2 linked regions of the Lepisosteus oculatus genome follow. The protein of the gene in region 2 interacts with the protein of the main gene of each other region in a pairwise test. Links are inferred from orthologs where the notes say so. Each region holds a gene or a part of one and is shown on either strand. Other genes may lie near its edges.

The links. The genes of interacting proteins can lie anywhere in the genome.
Region 1: the proteins of stx4 (region 2) and bet1 interact in binary tests that used the Homo sapiens proteins (3 or more experiments, as listed by UniProt). The two-hybrid records come from large-scale screens. The link is inferred for Lepisosteus oculatus from reciprocal best matches to the Homo sapiens genes STX4 and BET1.

The regions. Positions count from the first base shown.
Region 1 is NC_090705.1:4,535,284-4,543,160, reverse strand, and holds the start of bet1 (BET1 homolog), read right to left. Parts: upstream 3,458-7,877; 5' UTR 3,297-3,457; coding exon 3,278-3,296; intron 1,309-3,277; coding exon 1,199-1,308; intron 1-1,198. UniProt on the Homo sapiens protein: Required for vesicular transport from the ER to the Golgi complex. Functions as a SNARE involved in the docking process of ER-derived vesicles with the cis-Golgi membrane.
Region 2 is NC_090699.1:15,298,281-15,306,523, reverse strand, and holds the start of stx4 (syntaxin-4), read right to left. Parts: upstream 3,277-8,243; 5' UTR 3,118-3,276; coding exon 3,088-3,117; intron 1,580-3,087; coding exon 1,466-1,579; intron 762-1,465; coding exon 662-761; intron 1-661. UniProt on the Homo sapiens protein: Plasma membrane t-SNARE that mediates docking of transport vesicles. Necessary for the translocation of SLC2A4 from intracellular vesicles to the plasma membrane.

The DNA of each region.
Region 1 (7,877 bases), on a different chromosome or scaffold from region 2:
GGGCTCTGGCCTTGGGAGTTTCATGCGGCGAGAGTTCTGTTTTTCAACTTTGACGTCAACAAAGGCAGAAAACTTCCGAGAGACGCAGAGGAAGCGCTCCGGGCTCCACTGTCATCGGTGCCTTGCAGGTGAGGGCGTCTGTGCACTTCGAGGCACAACCCTGATTACACACTGAAATAAGGTTTGGTCCCACCGCTGATGATAATACAGTATACTCAGGCCAGTGACATCTATCTGTGTGATGATGGAGGCAGTGCGTCACAAAGTCTTTAGATTTGGGAAAATATTGAGAATCAAAGAGTTATTACAGAATGGTCCCTGTTATAACACTAAATTGGTCACAATGCAGAAAGGCTATGGCTCCCATTTCCGACATAATGTTTTTTGACTCTAACACGCCACACAAATCTCTGAAACCCTTATTCACTCAGCCTGCTGAATCAAGGGTGCTGTTTCAAAAATTACACAGTGCAGCACCTATTTTGCTAGGATAGCTAACAGACAAAGAAAAACGGAGACATTTTCTTGGTAAAACTGACTCAGAATTGGGCTCCTGAAGATGATGATAATAATAATTGTTTGTGGCCTTCGAATACAATTGTTTGTATGAAAGAGTGGTATAAACTTTAAATAGTGAAATAGTGGCTTCTGTTATAGAAAAGGGGCTTGTTTAGCTTATGGCCACTGTAAATCACTTCAAAAGTAAGGATGCCAAAAAACTATATAATGTCGAATACAAAACAGACTCCAACAACTGCATTACAACAAAGCAGCCCTGTTTTATCAGTAGTAGTTGTCAGTACATAAAAACCTAATGGACACATACTTACGACAAATGAATTACACAATTTCTGTGCTTTTAGGTGAAAAAATATATATAGTTGTATACAAAACAAGTATATTTTTCAAATATATGTACAGAAACAGAACCCTTTTTTATAGCAATGAACTGTTCTCTTTAAAATGCACAGGGATGTTACATTTGTATGGATTACATATAAAACAAGGATTTTCCAAAAGATAAACTTACACAATTTGACATCATTAGTAAATCATATGAAATACAACTATCAAAAGCTTTATTCAGCAATGTGTTCTGAACCTTTGAAGGTCAGAATTGATCCATCATTGCAGCCCCCCAAAATAAACAAGGACACCTCCACTTTCCAAAACTGGAAGGTCAGTGAACTGTACTTACATGTTTTAAAGCACTGACTTTAGCTCTTAAACCTTCGGATAAATTTTCATTTTCTTCTTCATGAACACTGTATCCACTTGCTACATAATTTCCTGTGGGTGCTCCATCACCTGTTAAAAGAAGGTGATAACATCCAAAGATAAAATAAAAATATCATGACTGGTTCATTACAATGTTGTGAGCAATACAATTAAACTTTGAATTTTCCACAACATTAGATATACAGTACAGGTTTATACAATCATGTCGGCTGTATTGTTCCCTACATCTCCATTTCGAAGTACTTGCTTTCACTAACTGTTTAATTACAATTACTGTGGCCATAAAGGGAAATTCCCATTATTTTACATAAATGAAAGGACGGCGACAAGGAAAACATGTCTGCAGTATATGATTAATACAATACTTAAAAACTACACTCTTTTTTTGGCAAAATAAATTGATCTTCACAGACTTGCAAACAGGTTAAAAAAGAAAATGATTAAACCATGTGGCTTAGAAAGCCAACTAAGGGTGTGCCCAGTAAAATCTGACAGGTCACCATCACCAATCCTTCCTTATCTTTGACCAGGGATGATGAGCCCCAGACTACTCTTTAAATGAGTGGGCGGAGCAGTGTCTCTGTGGCTCAGGATCTGTGCCTGCGGTTGGAAGGTTGCCAGTTCAAATCCCGCAGCCGGCAGAGGAATCCTACTCTGTTGGGCCCCTGAGCAAGACCCTTAACCCCAACTGCTCCAGGGGTGCCATACAATGGCAGACCCTGCGCTCTGACCCCCAGCTTCTCTCTCCCTGTCTGTGTGTCTCATGGAGAGCAAGCTGTGGCATGCGAAAAGATCATTCCTAATGCAAGAAATTGTATATGGCCAATAAAGTGATATTAAATGAAACAGGCTTGCAAATCCTTTAATCCAAAAGGCTGAAATGGTCAAGTTCCTTGCAGGTAGAGCTCTGTGATCATGGGTTCAAGCATGGGCCATGTCAGCAGCTGACTGTGACACAAATTTCCCCAGTCAGCGGCACTGGAAATGGGCGAGGGTAGAGTGGGTGTAGTCAGTGACACAGCGCCCCCTGTAGTCTTCTGGAGTGTTTGCAAGCTTGCAGTGCTGAGGGTGAAGGATGGGCCTCTCCACCAACCAGCACTGAACCTGTGGCACAGAGTGGGGTTGTCTGTGATGTGTCAAGAAATGACTGACTGGAAGGAGGAGTTATGAAACAACTTGTGAAAAACCATAACTTTGCTGTTCTAAACTGGGTGGGACTAACACATAAAACTGGTGATTCTAAATTTCTAAAAAAAAATAAATGTTATAAAAAAATAACATTCTTGGGATCACCCCAGCCCTGATTCAATAACATTTAACTGTTCTTGTATATACAATGTATATCCGATCTTATCAACAATGACGTTTGCTCGATGAAGTGTTAAACTAAGAAGGTCCAACTTTTGCACTAACTTCACTTGTCTAACTTCACTTTAAAATATTGCAACTAACCATAGTACCCATGTAATTGATGAATGAATTATCAAGCAAAATGACAGGTATTAGAACTTGAAAACAATTTGTCTAAACAGTCTAGTCATATAGAGTATAAAACCAGGTTCTACAGAAAAAAAACTGATGTACATCGAGATTCTTGTTTTAAATCAACGAATACGTTTTAAATCAACTTTCAATCTCGACTGTATTTAATGAGCTGTTTCCCTAGTGAGAAATGATAAAAAAAAACATCCTAAGACTGTGATATACTTGTAAAATTGATTGAACCGTCTCCCATTCATGGGAAATAACAGCTCGGATTTCGAGACATTTCACTCGTTTAGGGCGCAGGGTATGAAGAGTTCAAACTACGGGGATTTCAGGAATTATTGTTCAGACTGCGTCTTAAATTAATTAATACATTTAGTAATGGACAAACCTTTTCACCCTGTATAATAAAATCCTCTATTTACTTTAGAAATAATCAATATATCGTTTATAAATTTTAATAACCAACGAGTCCCCTTAAATTTTATTTCGAGTTCATGGTACAATTCAGTAAACCATTTTCAGAAACAAGAGTGGATACAGCTCCTCTTACCCAAACCCGCTCGCCTCATTTTGATCCCTTAGACTCCTTTCAGACAACGTTTGTTGCCAACACTTATTTTCTCGGTAACAATAATTTACCGAAGTTACAATTCCCGAAACCGATTTCTGCTTTGCCAACGTGTATGAACAGCAGCTATCGAAAAAAAAAATGAAACTTCACGACAACAACAACCCGGAACACGGCAGAACATCTTGGTTTGTGGGTAATGGAGTGCATGCGGTTGACTAAAGAATAATTCACACCGGCTCTCCCTGCGCTTGTCTGTGACCACTCTCACAACATCATGTCCGGTACATTCAGGCATATGATTCAAATTCAACAGGAGGCATGATTATTTATTTGGCTATTACTGAGTTCTTTAAATTACTTAGACAAGTTGAGTAGCAAAAAAAAAGACTACATCGCCCAGAATGCATAGCAAAGTCTCACTGCAACCTGAAAGTGCTGAAGCAAACGCAATGCAAGCGGAAGAGGCTCATGCTTCAACTGCCTTTTTAATATTGTACATCAAATGATACATCTAAGGAATAAAAAGTATCCGAAAAGCTAAGTGAACAATAAAAAAAAATCACAAAACAGTATACTGCTAGAGAGAATTAAAAAATAGAACTCAACAAATGAAACATTTTCATCCAATTTTTTTATTTGTGAATATTATGTCAAATTATAACTATTCTTCCATATTACATGGCTCAAAGCGTAAAGTTTATATGAAACTTTTTAAGTCTGCCTTTTTAATGCGTATTATTAAAGTTCTGCAAGTCTGTCCAAAACAAGTAACACATGTGTCCGAGTTTTTTTTTTCCCCAGGCTTAAAATACACAAATCATCTTGTTGAATCTTGTTGAAAAGTCTGAATCTAGAAAGTCTTAGTTTAACATTTTAAAGCCTATGAACAGTTGTAAATGTTTTTTGTAAGGCAGTATCTGTCAGGAGTTGTCCAAAATAATTTTCAGTTAGTATTTACAAATATTAAATTCTAGAAGGATATACAGATAGAAATGAAGCAGAGTTTAAACAAATTCCTTATGTGGTTTTTAAAATTGCATTTTTATCTTTTATTTTCACACCATTCAAGAACAAAGTAACTGTAGATGTCAGGTCTATACTGACAGAGTTAGGGTTACCTGCAAGACTTTTTGTTTTGTACTTAATACCTTTGTTATATAGTATTTATAGTTTATATAGTATGTATGTGGTGAGAACTTATGTTTATACAGTATATTAAATATAAGACCCGTCTGTGAAAGTTGAATAAGTTAATCATGGGTGTCATGAAGTCAAATAACAGCTTCTCAATGATTTCTCCAAAAAACCCTCTACATTACCACACGTTCTGATTATCTCCCAGAATCACCAATGCACACACAGACCAGCGATAAGCATTAGTATCGTATAAGTACCCTTTTTAATAAATTATGTACAGTAACATTAACTATCAGCAAGGACAGGTTCTTTCAAGAGTCCTAATGAATTCCTGGGGGTCAGCTGTCCTTGCAGGTGATGAGGAGAGGGCGTTGGAAAGTCTTGGTGTTACAGAGAAGGACAGCAATGTATAGAAAAGTGATGCCGCACAGTCCAATTTCCCCGGTCTCCGTTTGGACTATATCGGGAGTCCTCCTTTAGAGTGCACTACTCTCCCCTTGGGTCAGTATCGACTCACCAGGCCGGTTTCTTTGCTTCTTTCCTCCAAGTATTAGATGTCTCTGTGCAGTACCTCCGTTCCTCTGCATCCTTCTCCCATGATCTGCAACTCCAGGGAGAATCTCCTCTGTGGACTCGCAGGTTGCGGGTTTCCTTGCACTGCCTGTCTCGTGTCGAGGGGCTACCCTGGAGAAGAGACTCCTCTGTTGAGGCTCAGATCTTTTTATCCCTCCCATAAGCCATCCCCCCAAGTGGTTTTCCTATTGTCTCTGTCAGTGGCGGGTGCACCCAGAACATTATCAGGAGGAAGCTCAGGTCGTTTGAGAACGGGAAGTCCTAGGTGTCATGGGCACTTCTCATTTCTTTGTGTGCTTTCCTGCTCCACTCCCCTGCCCAAGGTCTGACGAACTGGCTCAGCCTCACACCTCCATGCGTCAGTACCTAATTGCTTCCTGGATGACTTGGGTATGACCATTGTTACTAATTGTTCCCTGCTCCACTGTCACATTGACACAATCCTGGCCATCAACACAACGCGATTCATCACAACCTGTTACTGCTTCAACGGCCAACATCTTGTGACATTAGCACTGGAAATGTAGAGTTCAGCTGGAATGAGCACCAGCAGAAAAGAGTTCAAAAACATTACTTTATATTTATATCTAAATATATAACCATAAATGCACATTTGTTTGAGCTAATGCGCCATATATATGTTAATATTGTATTATTAATCAACTTTAAACATTTAATCATCTGGTCATTTTTATCACACCAATCTTGGCGTACAATCATAGAGTTTCTTTAGAGCCCTTAGTGATATTCGTGTTAAGGTCTTTTCAATGAGAATGAAAACATTTTTTTAATGCTTGAAATAGTCCTTGAAAATGTTCTCTTTTGTTTGAATTCTTCGATGCTTGATCTAAGCCAACAGACTTTTCTTCTTCTAAAGAAACAATTGAACACCAGAGCTGACAAAAGTGAGGAATAATGATAATGGAAAAGAAAATATCATTACAACTGTTACATACTGTAAGTGTTTAGAAATATTTTCCTGCTCTTTGGTGTGGAAGTTTTCTTTATTCCGGAGAGCTATTTCGATATTATCATAGGTGAGTCATGTGTGCATGAAAAGTTCATTGCTTTTCACCAATTACCAAAGCGAAAAAGCCTTTCAGTGTATTTCACATCAAAAAACACATTAGACTCTGCTTTAGCAGCACATCACTGTACTTAGTATTTGCCTGTTATGACAGACAGTATGTGCTAAAAGCAACTTAATGCTGCAAAATATTAACTTGCAAAATGTCCTTTATGATATTTAAGGTACAGCAAAATGGTAACAGCAGAGGATCCACCTTGGATAAGATGTAAAAACAACAGCAACAAAGCAATTACTCAAGCCTATTATAATTATTCAGACCTATTATAAGAGATGGGGAAAGAGCAGTGTCTTGCTGTGATTAATCATTGTCTTTAGGGTCTGATACATGTAGCTGCCTGTCTTCTCCATTGGTGGTCTTCCTATAGAGGAGTGTGTGCTAATGATAAAAGTGCTTTGAAGGCAAAGAAGAAAGCATGCTGTTAATACCATTGAGAGACGTTTGAATAAAATGTTTATGCTATTTCCCCTTATACCTTCTTAACCATTTTTTATCTGCATCATGATTCTGTAGGATTAGCAGTCATTCATTTTTGACACACTATCTACTGTAGGTCTCAAGGATCACACATTTTAATTAATCAGATATTAATCAAACATACTGTACAAGCATCCATACATACATACACAGTGCAGGTCCTTTTTCCAGGAGTTTCTGAGGGTTTTTATTTACATAGCTGATGTTCCCATAGGGTAGTTACAGAAAAGTCAATGAAACATAAGGTCAATCCACTTCATTATTCTTAGAAACTGGAAGACTTTCTGGGAACCAGGCATCATGAGCACAGAAAATGGAGTGTATTATCCTTATAGTCATCTCCGTTTATGTGTTACCAAAATAGTTACCATATTTCCAAGTACCTGATTTGCCCACTGTTTCCTGAGGAATGTTAAGTTTTGCCTCCATTGCAGATTTACAGTACATACATGTTCTGTCACGAACAGCATCCCTCCTCTTAAAGGACACTCCGACCCTTTTGTATTTTAGTTGATTATGAGCACCTGCCTCTTGCTTTGTCCTACTATTTCAGCCTGGTGCTCTTGCTATTCCTGGCTCAGCACTGGGAGATGGATGCCCAGAAGCCCGCCTACCAGCGGGTCCAGGAGAGACCCGACGGCACAGGCTTCATCACGGCCTCCTGACCGTCTGAGTCCGGGGCTCGGAGCGCCTGGCCTCTGTCCCTACTGTCACGAATCTTACTCCCGCGTGCCCCTCCCGGCGCACACACCTGTGCCGCTATTAGCAATTAGCACTTCACTCCCCGCTTCCTCCGTTCACTCCTCGCTCACTGTTGAGATTGCCTTAAACCTTCTCTTGTGCGCGTTTTCTTCTACTGACTTCTGGATTTCGACCCTGATACTCTTCGGCAATGGCTTCACCTCTCTCTCTCTCACGGATTTCTGATTTGGACACCTACTGGCTTGACTATTGATTACCAACCCTGCTTCGCCCCTGGCTACCTTCGTCGCTCTCTCTCACGGACCACGGATTTGGATACCTATCGACCGGACACCTGTACCTGACCCTGGCTGACAACCCGACCTCTCATCACTCTCTCTCGCCTTTTTGGATTCCCGACATCTACCTTCACAGCACCGTATCGGGTCTGACCTCTCCTATCACTAGTCGCCACTAATAAGTTAAGTGACACCTACATTTTATTCCCTGTTTATTCCCTGTTCCAGATCCCGTTCCTGACTTTAACTGTGTTTGTTCCGGTTTTGGAATTTGGACTGTGCTCTGGATTCCCTTTGGACTGCCTGCCATCGCCACGCCCCCCA
Region 2 (8,243 bases):
TCTCCAGTCTTCCTCAGGAGACGCCGTTGGGTGAAGGCAGCGCATCTCCAGTCTCCCATAGGAGACGCCGTTGGGTGAAGGCAGCGCATCTCCAGTCTTCCTCAGGAGACGCTGTTGGCTGAAGGCAGCGCATCTCCAGTCTTCCTCAGGAGACGCTGTTGGCTGAAGGCAGCGCATCTCCAGTCTTCCTCAGGAGACGCTGTTGGCTGAAGGCAGCGCATCTCCAGTCTCCCGCAGGAGACGCTGTTTGGTGAAGGGGTAAATAAATTGCTACATCTGTAAATGAGGCATGGCCTACGAATGCATAGCCAAAGGATCCACTCCTGGGTTTTACCAGTGGCAGATATTTGAACCAAGACTGCAGCCTCCAAATGCATAGCAGGTTGATCCAGTTCCAGGTTTTGTAAGCTGCTAAGCTTTTCGACTCCGCCACATGCAACAGCAACTCCGCGAGAGCTGGGCAGACCTTCATCCTGCAGTGCTCATCCCCTAGAACAGAGCACCATGCCGCTCCAGAAACACGTCATCACCGCGCACTGAAAGAAGGACGCTTCACAGGCGCCTTCTGAACCGGAGCTCTGACCATCCGGAAAGGAAGGAGCCGAGTCCCGTTCCGCGTGCAATGTCGCACGGGAGTGTCCCGGGGGAGAAGCTTACTCACTTTCCTCAGGCAGGGCCACTCCCAGTATCGTCCTCTGCTTGACCTCCAGGCTGTTGACCTTCATGGTGAGAGCGGCCAGGCCCTCGTGGATCTCTCTCACCTGCCGGACAGACACGGGGTCCAAGAGGTTAGTGACCGGCGCCCCCACAGGACACGCAGTCCCCCGATTTATTTATAGGGGGCGGTGCTTTTCCGACCCACTGAACGATTCTATCTTCCCAGCATGCCTCAAACGGACAGATCGCTTGTAGGTCTTCCTACACGCACCGGTAACACAGGAAGCCAACACAAGGCAGGTCACAAAAGAGAGGAGGCACATACCCAAGGGGACGTCCACTGGAGGAAATGATTAGTTTCGTTTCGCTACTTTATTGTGCTTTGCGCCCAAGGTTCTTGCGAGGCAGAGACTACTACCAGCTACTGCTCAGCAAGTCAGGCAGAGAAGAGAGACAGGGCTGCGCTGTGTGAACTAAGGGGGGAATTATAGAGAAAACCAGGAGGACGAGCCCAGAGGGATGTATGTACCCAGGACACCAGCCCCACTCCCTACATCGCTCTGCAGAGGATATTTTACGACACACTTTCAACACTGCTCAGCAGGAACTTAAATACATCAATTCTAGTTAAAAGTTCTTCTTGTGACTTTATGGGTTCGTCACACATGGAAACATCAGTGTTGTTCCTGTGGCTGGGATTCCCAGACTGCTCCAGCTTGGATTCAGACCTTCAGGGGTGACCGTCACCGAGGGGACACTAGTCCACCATAGACAGATTCTCATTAACAGGTTCAAGAGTTAAAATTACCTTCTGGAAAAATTCATCGTTCTCATCCTTGGCAGCTTTCTGTGATGTTTTCCCTGTTCCTGGCTTTATCATCAGAGGTCTGCCTTCCTCCTCCTCATCAGAACTCTCCGCCTTCTGCACACAGAGAGAGAGGGGTTCATACAGACACACTGACTGACTGGACACTCCAGTACATTAACACTGCACTGAGAGAGAGGGGTTCATACAGACACACTGACTGACTGGACACTCCAGTACATTAACACTGCACTGAGAGAGAGGGGTTCATACAGACACACTGACTGACTGGACACTCCAGTACATTAACACTGCACTGAGAGAGAGGGGTTCATACAGACACACTGACTGACTGGACACTCCAGTACATTAACACTGCACTGAGAGAGAGGGGTTCATACAGACACACTGACTGGACACTCCAGTACATTAACACTGCACTGAGAGAGAGGGGTTCATACAGACACACTGACTGACTGGACACTCCAGTACATTAACACTGCACTGAGAGAGAGGGGTTCATACAGACACACTGACTGGACACTCCAGTACATTAACACTGCACTGAGAGAGGGATTAATACACTCTTTTACTCACACAGGTGTTGGTATTAATCTGATCTAAGGGGAGTACAACACAGCACTGCAGAGGGAAACCGAAAGCGAGGAGCAACGTTCATCAGTATTTCCACGTTAATACTCTTAGGCTTTATGACAGACTCCAGGGTAGCTCAAGTTGGGACTACTAACACATCCAGAAGAAAATCACCCAAAACAAACAGCACCTTTAATATTAAATTTACCGGTATGCTTGAATATTTAATTCAAAAAGACACTAGGCGTATTAACTCACAACCTCTGTCCGCATACTGCCCAGATTAACCGAGAACCACTGACAGACTGGTACTGTCTGACAGAGGGACACTGTCCGTACTAAGCGCGAGAGACGTTTGGTGGAAAAAACGTGGAGATACTGGGCAGTGGCAGGCGATCATTCAAGTTGACATAAAGACCGTCCCTTGTGGGCGTCCGGGACAAAGTACTCTTATTCCATGCAACAAGTCGAGCTCCTTCGTCCTTTCCGTGTGAAGTTTCGTTTCGGGCTGGACGTCACTGAAGAAGACACCTTCTGTGTGTGTGTGTCAGGAGCCCCCGGACTGCCTGTTGAGGTGGAGCGCTATTTATACACCGGGCAGCCCCGGAGGGGGGTTTGGAGAAACTATTTTTTAAACAGGCCGTCGCTTCTCAGCTCCCGTGTGTTGTTTTCTTAGTGCTTCAGAACATAGCAGAAGATACAACACAGATAACAGGGAACCAGACGATGAGAGGAAGCCCAGATACGCGATTTTAACTGTCTTCCTTCTTTGTCCTTTTAATTTCAACGGGACCTTCACAAATCTATCTTTTATTATTATTATCATGCTTATTTTCCACGATCAGCGCCTCGTCAACGACTGAAGTGCAAAAAAAAAAGGACGAGGGCAAAGCTACCCCCAGCCCTTTCTCGGTGTCGATCGCGACGTAGAAAGTAGCGAGACTGTGTGCCACAACACGCCCAGGGTGCGTGCAAAGCAGACAGCCACCAGCCCGGCTGGCCGAGGGTCGGAGAGACGGGACCGCACTTACATCGCCCAGCTCTCTCGTCCGGTCTCGCATCTCGGCTGCACCCCGACCCCACTCGCATCCAGACCCGACACGGAAAACGGACTTTGCACCCGGGCTCTACGACGGCACGCACTCGACCTCCTCCTGCGCTCCCAGTAAACTTTCCTGCCAGCGGCGCTGCAGCGTGACTCTGCCGGCCAATCACGCCGCCCTCCGGGAGGAAGTCGGGCCCCGCGCATGCGCGGCCGGCCTGCGCAGGGGAGGGCGGGAGCAGGGGGTGGTCTGGGTGTCGCTTATTGTGATTCCTTCGGAATGGAAGTGATTTATTCTCCGGTTGAGAACAATTTAAGGGGGTTTAAACTATCCCTGACCCCTTTCATTAATGACAGTGCGGTAGTCATTCGCGTTGCTCGCTAGGGGGCCCTGGTGTTCCAACTGCAGTTGTTCCCAGAAGAATCATTAACGTCATTCAGCCAACGCAGCACATCACTACTCGGGGCAAAGTGTTTATAGTATTACAATCTAGCGGACTTTATAGATCGATAAAATACATAAATCAGGCGACACAACAGCGAGCACAAAACGGAGCATTTAAAAACTTGGCTCTATCCGAGGAACCGATGTTTCAGTGGTGGTTGCAGTAGTGTTTGGGTGAAACACGAACCAGAGGGCACGAGTGACAGTTGCAAGGAAGCGCATTTAAAATTCAGAGCAGGAGGCAGCATTTTACACAAAGGGTGGTGGGAGTGTGGAACAAGCTGCCCAGCCATGTTGTTGAAGCCGATACCTTGTTTCAGGACACAGCTGTATGAGATCCTGATGATCTCACTCTTCATATACTGTAGATATGCAGTACCAGTACCAGTCAAAGGTACTGTGTGAAACCAGGTTTTTCCATCATTATCTGTAGTTTAAACTGTATAAACTTGTTAATCAACACTTAATATTTAATTACATGATACTGTATGTGAACTTATAATCTTAGGTGAACTGCATTGAAAATGTTAATTTTTCATTTTCAATAAAATGAATACTCAAAGCAAGCAGTCTGAAGCCCAGGTTAATTAAAAGTCAGAAATGTGTATAACACGGTGTTAGCACACTAAAAGAAGTTTGAAATTGTCTTTGTTAGATGTTCCCACAGTTTACTAGCATGTTACCTCATTTACCTTTTGTAAAGACACACGTGATTATTATAAATATAGGGAGCATGGGCAAACGTTTGTCATTCCTGAATGAACATAGCAAAATTTGCTCAGCAAGCAAGGAAGAAACACAGTTTATAATTACTTTAAGAAATGAAAGTCAATCTTTAAGACAAATTGCAAGAACAAATTGCTAGTGTCAGTAACTGCTGTGGCCAAGACTATCAAACGATATGAAGAATCTGGCACTCAGGAGGACCGAAAAAGATCAGGCAGGCCAAAGGTGACCTCAGAATCAGAGAATACGTTCATTAGAGTCACAAGTCTGCCAAACTGGCGACTAACTGACCCTGAAATACAGGCTGAGCTCAGTGCAACTAGAAGACCAGATGTTTCAGAGGAGTTCACCTGTTCAGAGGAGGTTGCGTGAAGCTGGCCTCAAAGGTCCATTTTCTGTGTTTTTTGGCCCAGGCAGGTCTCTTCTTCTTATTCTGCACTCTTAACAAGGGTGTCTTTGCAGCAGTCTTCCTGGTAGGCCAGCGTCACACCGCCGCCTCTGAAAATGATCCAAAACGATCCTTTGCTTTGAGACTGTGTGTTTTTGTTTTTGCAAATTGAAGTGTGCTTTTCCTTCTAACGCTCGGTGTCACTTCACATCATTAATAAACCAGGCCAGTTTGTGGGTCAGCAGTTCCCACCGTGTTTCTGTTAACTACTGCGCACACACAGTATTTATCACTGCCCAGATCCACTGATCTTCAGATCTGGGGCTCTTGGCAGGACCAGGAAAGTGCTACAGAGTTGCAGCCTTCAGAGTTTTAGCCTTGCAGTTTTCAGCCCAGCCAGATCAATCAGTGAAAATCCATCTGTCACCCTCTTCCAAACTACAGTAACACATCTTTATTGATTCATGACGCAAAGTGAAAATACAATCTTTAGCGATTTCTTGTTCTTTTAAAAAAGCTGTACTGTATATATGATCATTAATGTTTTTAATTTGTGCCTGTTCCTGTTTTTAAGCTAAGGTTATTACTGTCGTTTTGAATGGAAGAGTTTACATTAAAACAGATGAGATGGAGAAAATAGTTTTATCTGAAATACTCCCATGCACACGATTCCTACGTCGAAAATACTCCAGTCCACACGATTCTTATATAGAAAATACTCCAGTCCACACGATTAATATATCCAAAATACTCCAGTCCACCCTATTCCTATATCTGAAATACTCCAGTGCACACAATTCCTACATCTGAAATACTCCAGTCCCAAGATTCTTATATCCAAAATACTCCAGTCCACATGATTCTGATATCGAAAATACTAAAGTCTACACAATTCTTATATCGAAAATACTCCAGTCCACACAATTCTTATATCCAAAATACTTATCCAAAATACTTAGTGCATATATTCCCTGTATCTGAAAAACTCCAGTCCACACTATCCCTATATCTGAGATACTCCAGTCCACACTATTCCTGTATCTGAAATAGTCCAGTCCACACACTTAATTCCCAAGTCTCCACCCGTGTCATCAGATGGTGCAGACACCACACCTGTCGTGAGGTTCTTACTTGTTAACAGTGCAGGTGTAGTCGAACAGCAGACAAGCTGTGTGTTTAGAGCGCCATCTGCTGGGATAGCCTGACTCTCTTTCTCACCCTAACCTTGGCTGGAAACTTCATCCTTCACCTGTCAAATTCAGATCTTTCTTGACATGAGTGATGAATTACAGTGCCGCCAAAGTACTACCCATTATTAGGCTGTGACAGGAGATCACACACAGGACTGCAGCTCTGCTGCATTTCCTCCCTCAGTACAGGACTGGGAGCTGTTCCTGTTCTGCCAGCTGATGGAATTCTTAGATTATTTTAGGGAAGAATGTATACTACTAGAGTATTTCTTGTAGTGCTGCAGAAAGTGCATCTCCTCTTCTGTTTTGCCTTGCTGTCCTCTCTAGGCAGCCAGGCCTGTCTGTGTCCAGTTTCCATGTCCAGTCTGTGTTCACTGAGCCTGTCCTCCCTGGACAGCCAGGTCTGTATGTGTCCAGTTTCCATGTCCAGTCTGTGGTCACTGGGCCTGTCTTCTCTAGATAGCCAGGTCTGCCTGTGTCCAGTTTCTATGTCCAGACTGTGGTCACTGAGCCTGTCCTCTCTGGACAGCCAGCTCTGCAGGTGTATTAGGCAGACCAGAGAAAAGCCCTGTACTCCGTCCTCTGGGAACGCAGCATGGACAGAGCAGTCCTGGCCCTTGTTCTGTTGGCAGGCAGCAGAGTTCCAGAGGGAAGAGAGCCAGCATCCTTGATTATAAATCAGTGTTTCCCCCAGAATACCTCTGGATATTCGATTTGAGCTTTGGCAGCGACTGAGGAACTGTTGCAAACTGCAGGCACACAGAACGACCTGGCTCCCAGCCCTGGTGACTTTCTATATTTTAATCTAGCAGGGGATTAATACGGGCTGAGGAAGATGATGACGAAGATGATGGAGATGCTGTACTTAATATATATGTATCTACAGTCTATGGAGAGTGAGACAGAAAAGGGGCGTGTGTGCTTCATCAGGTAGAGATACGAGAGAGTCAGGGGGCTAATGGAGGTGATGGCGACAGGAAGATGAGCCAATCAATCAATCCACCAACCAATTCATCAATCCATCCGTGTTTTTGACAGTTTTATCCAGTTCAAGGCCGCAGGGGAGCCAGAGCCTATTCCTGCAAGCCCAGGTGACGGGCTCGAGCACGGTCCACCCTGTCCATCACGGGACAGACAGACACAGGCTCACACCCGGGCCGGTTTTCCCAGAAGCCAATTCAGCTCCCAGCGTGCCTCTGGACTGCGGGAGGAAACCGGCGCACCAGGAGGAGACCCACACGAGCACGGGGAGAAGGGCACTGGCCGCCCTCACTGGGGGGACCCTGATGGCCCTCGGCCCGCAGTCAGCTCTGGCAGGATCTCCTGCTGCAGAGGCGATGGGGGTGACCAGCCCACGAACGTGAGAGCCCAGACTGACAGCAGAGTGCACCGTGGGACACGGCGCGCTTGAGGAAGCTACAGTGCTTCACTGAGACATCTTTCATGTCTTCTAGCCCATCGGCTCTCAGTCCTAATCCTGGGGGACGGCTCACCGATTCACTCTCACTCTCACCTATGATCTGAACCTCACAGTGCCTTCTTCCTTTCTTTCTTACCAAAAACTCAAACACACATTGAAAATCTACCTCTACCTCACATGTCAAAAGCTCACTCCCAATCATTTCTATCCCTTTATTTTCTTCTGTTGATGCATATTTTTGCACATACCCTGTTACCTTTTTGTTGTTTTGCACATTGCCTGTTGTTGTTTTTTGCACATCGTGTGTTGTTGTTGTTTTGCACATTGCCTGTTGTTGTTTTTTTGCACATCGTCTGTTGTTGTTTTTTGCACACTGCCTGTTGTCTCTGTCTTTCTTTTGCTACACAATTGTATTGTTGTTGTTGTTTTTCTCTTTGTACTACTTATGTCCGAGAGCTAGCTAAATAGCATTTCGTTATACCCTATACCATGTATATGAGTGTAATGACAATTAACTTGAAACTTGAACCGATGACTTCAGCTGGATTGTTCATTGCAGGCTAACTGATTCCAGCTTTCCTACTGCGGCGCCATTTGAACGTTTTTCGGAATCTCCCGAAGTGCCGGATGGGAGCGGTCGGCAAGCGGAACCGGGCCTGGGTCGAAGCCGGAACATTCAGAACCGCCCTCAGTGGCGTGTGTGAGCTGAATCGGACCAGCGGGACTGGAACAAAAAAAGGAAAGCGCCCGGTGTTGACACAGCGTCGTTCCCAGTCTCTGCCTCCTCATCGCCAACCGGTCTCCTGCTCTGAGCTGTTGAGGGAAATATACGAGTCCTTCATTTTCATTCTTTGCTGATTAGGCTCTGTTCTCAACAAGCTGCAATATGTTCAGACCTCTGCAGCTGAACTGCTTCTTCACACCAGACACCGGCAGCATGTCACTCCCACACGCGTTTCTCTGTGGCTGTTGCCTG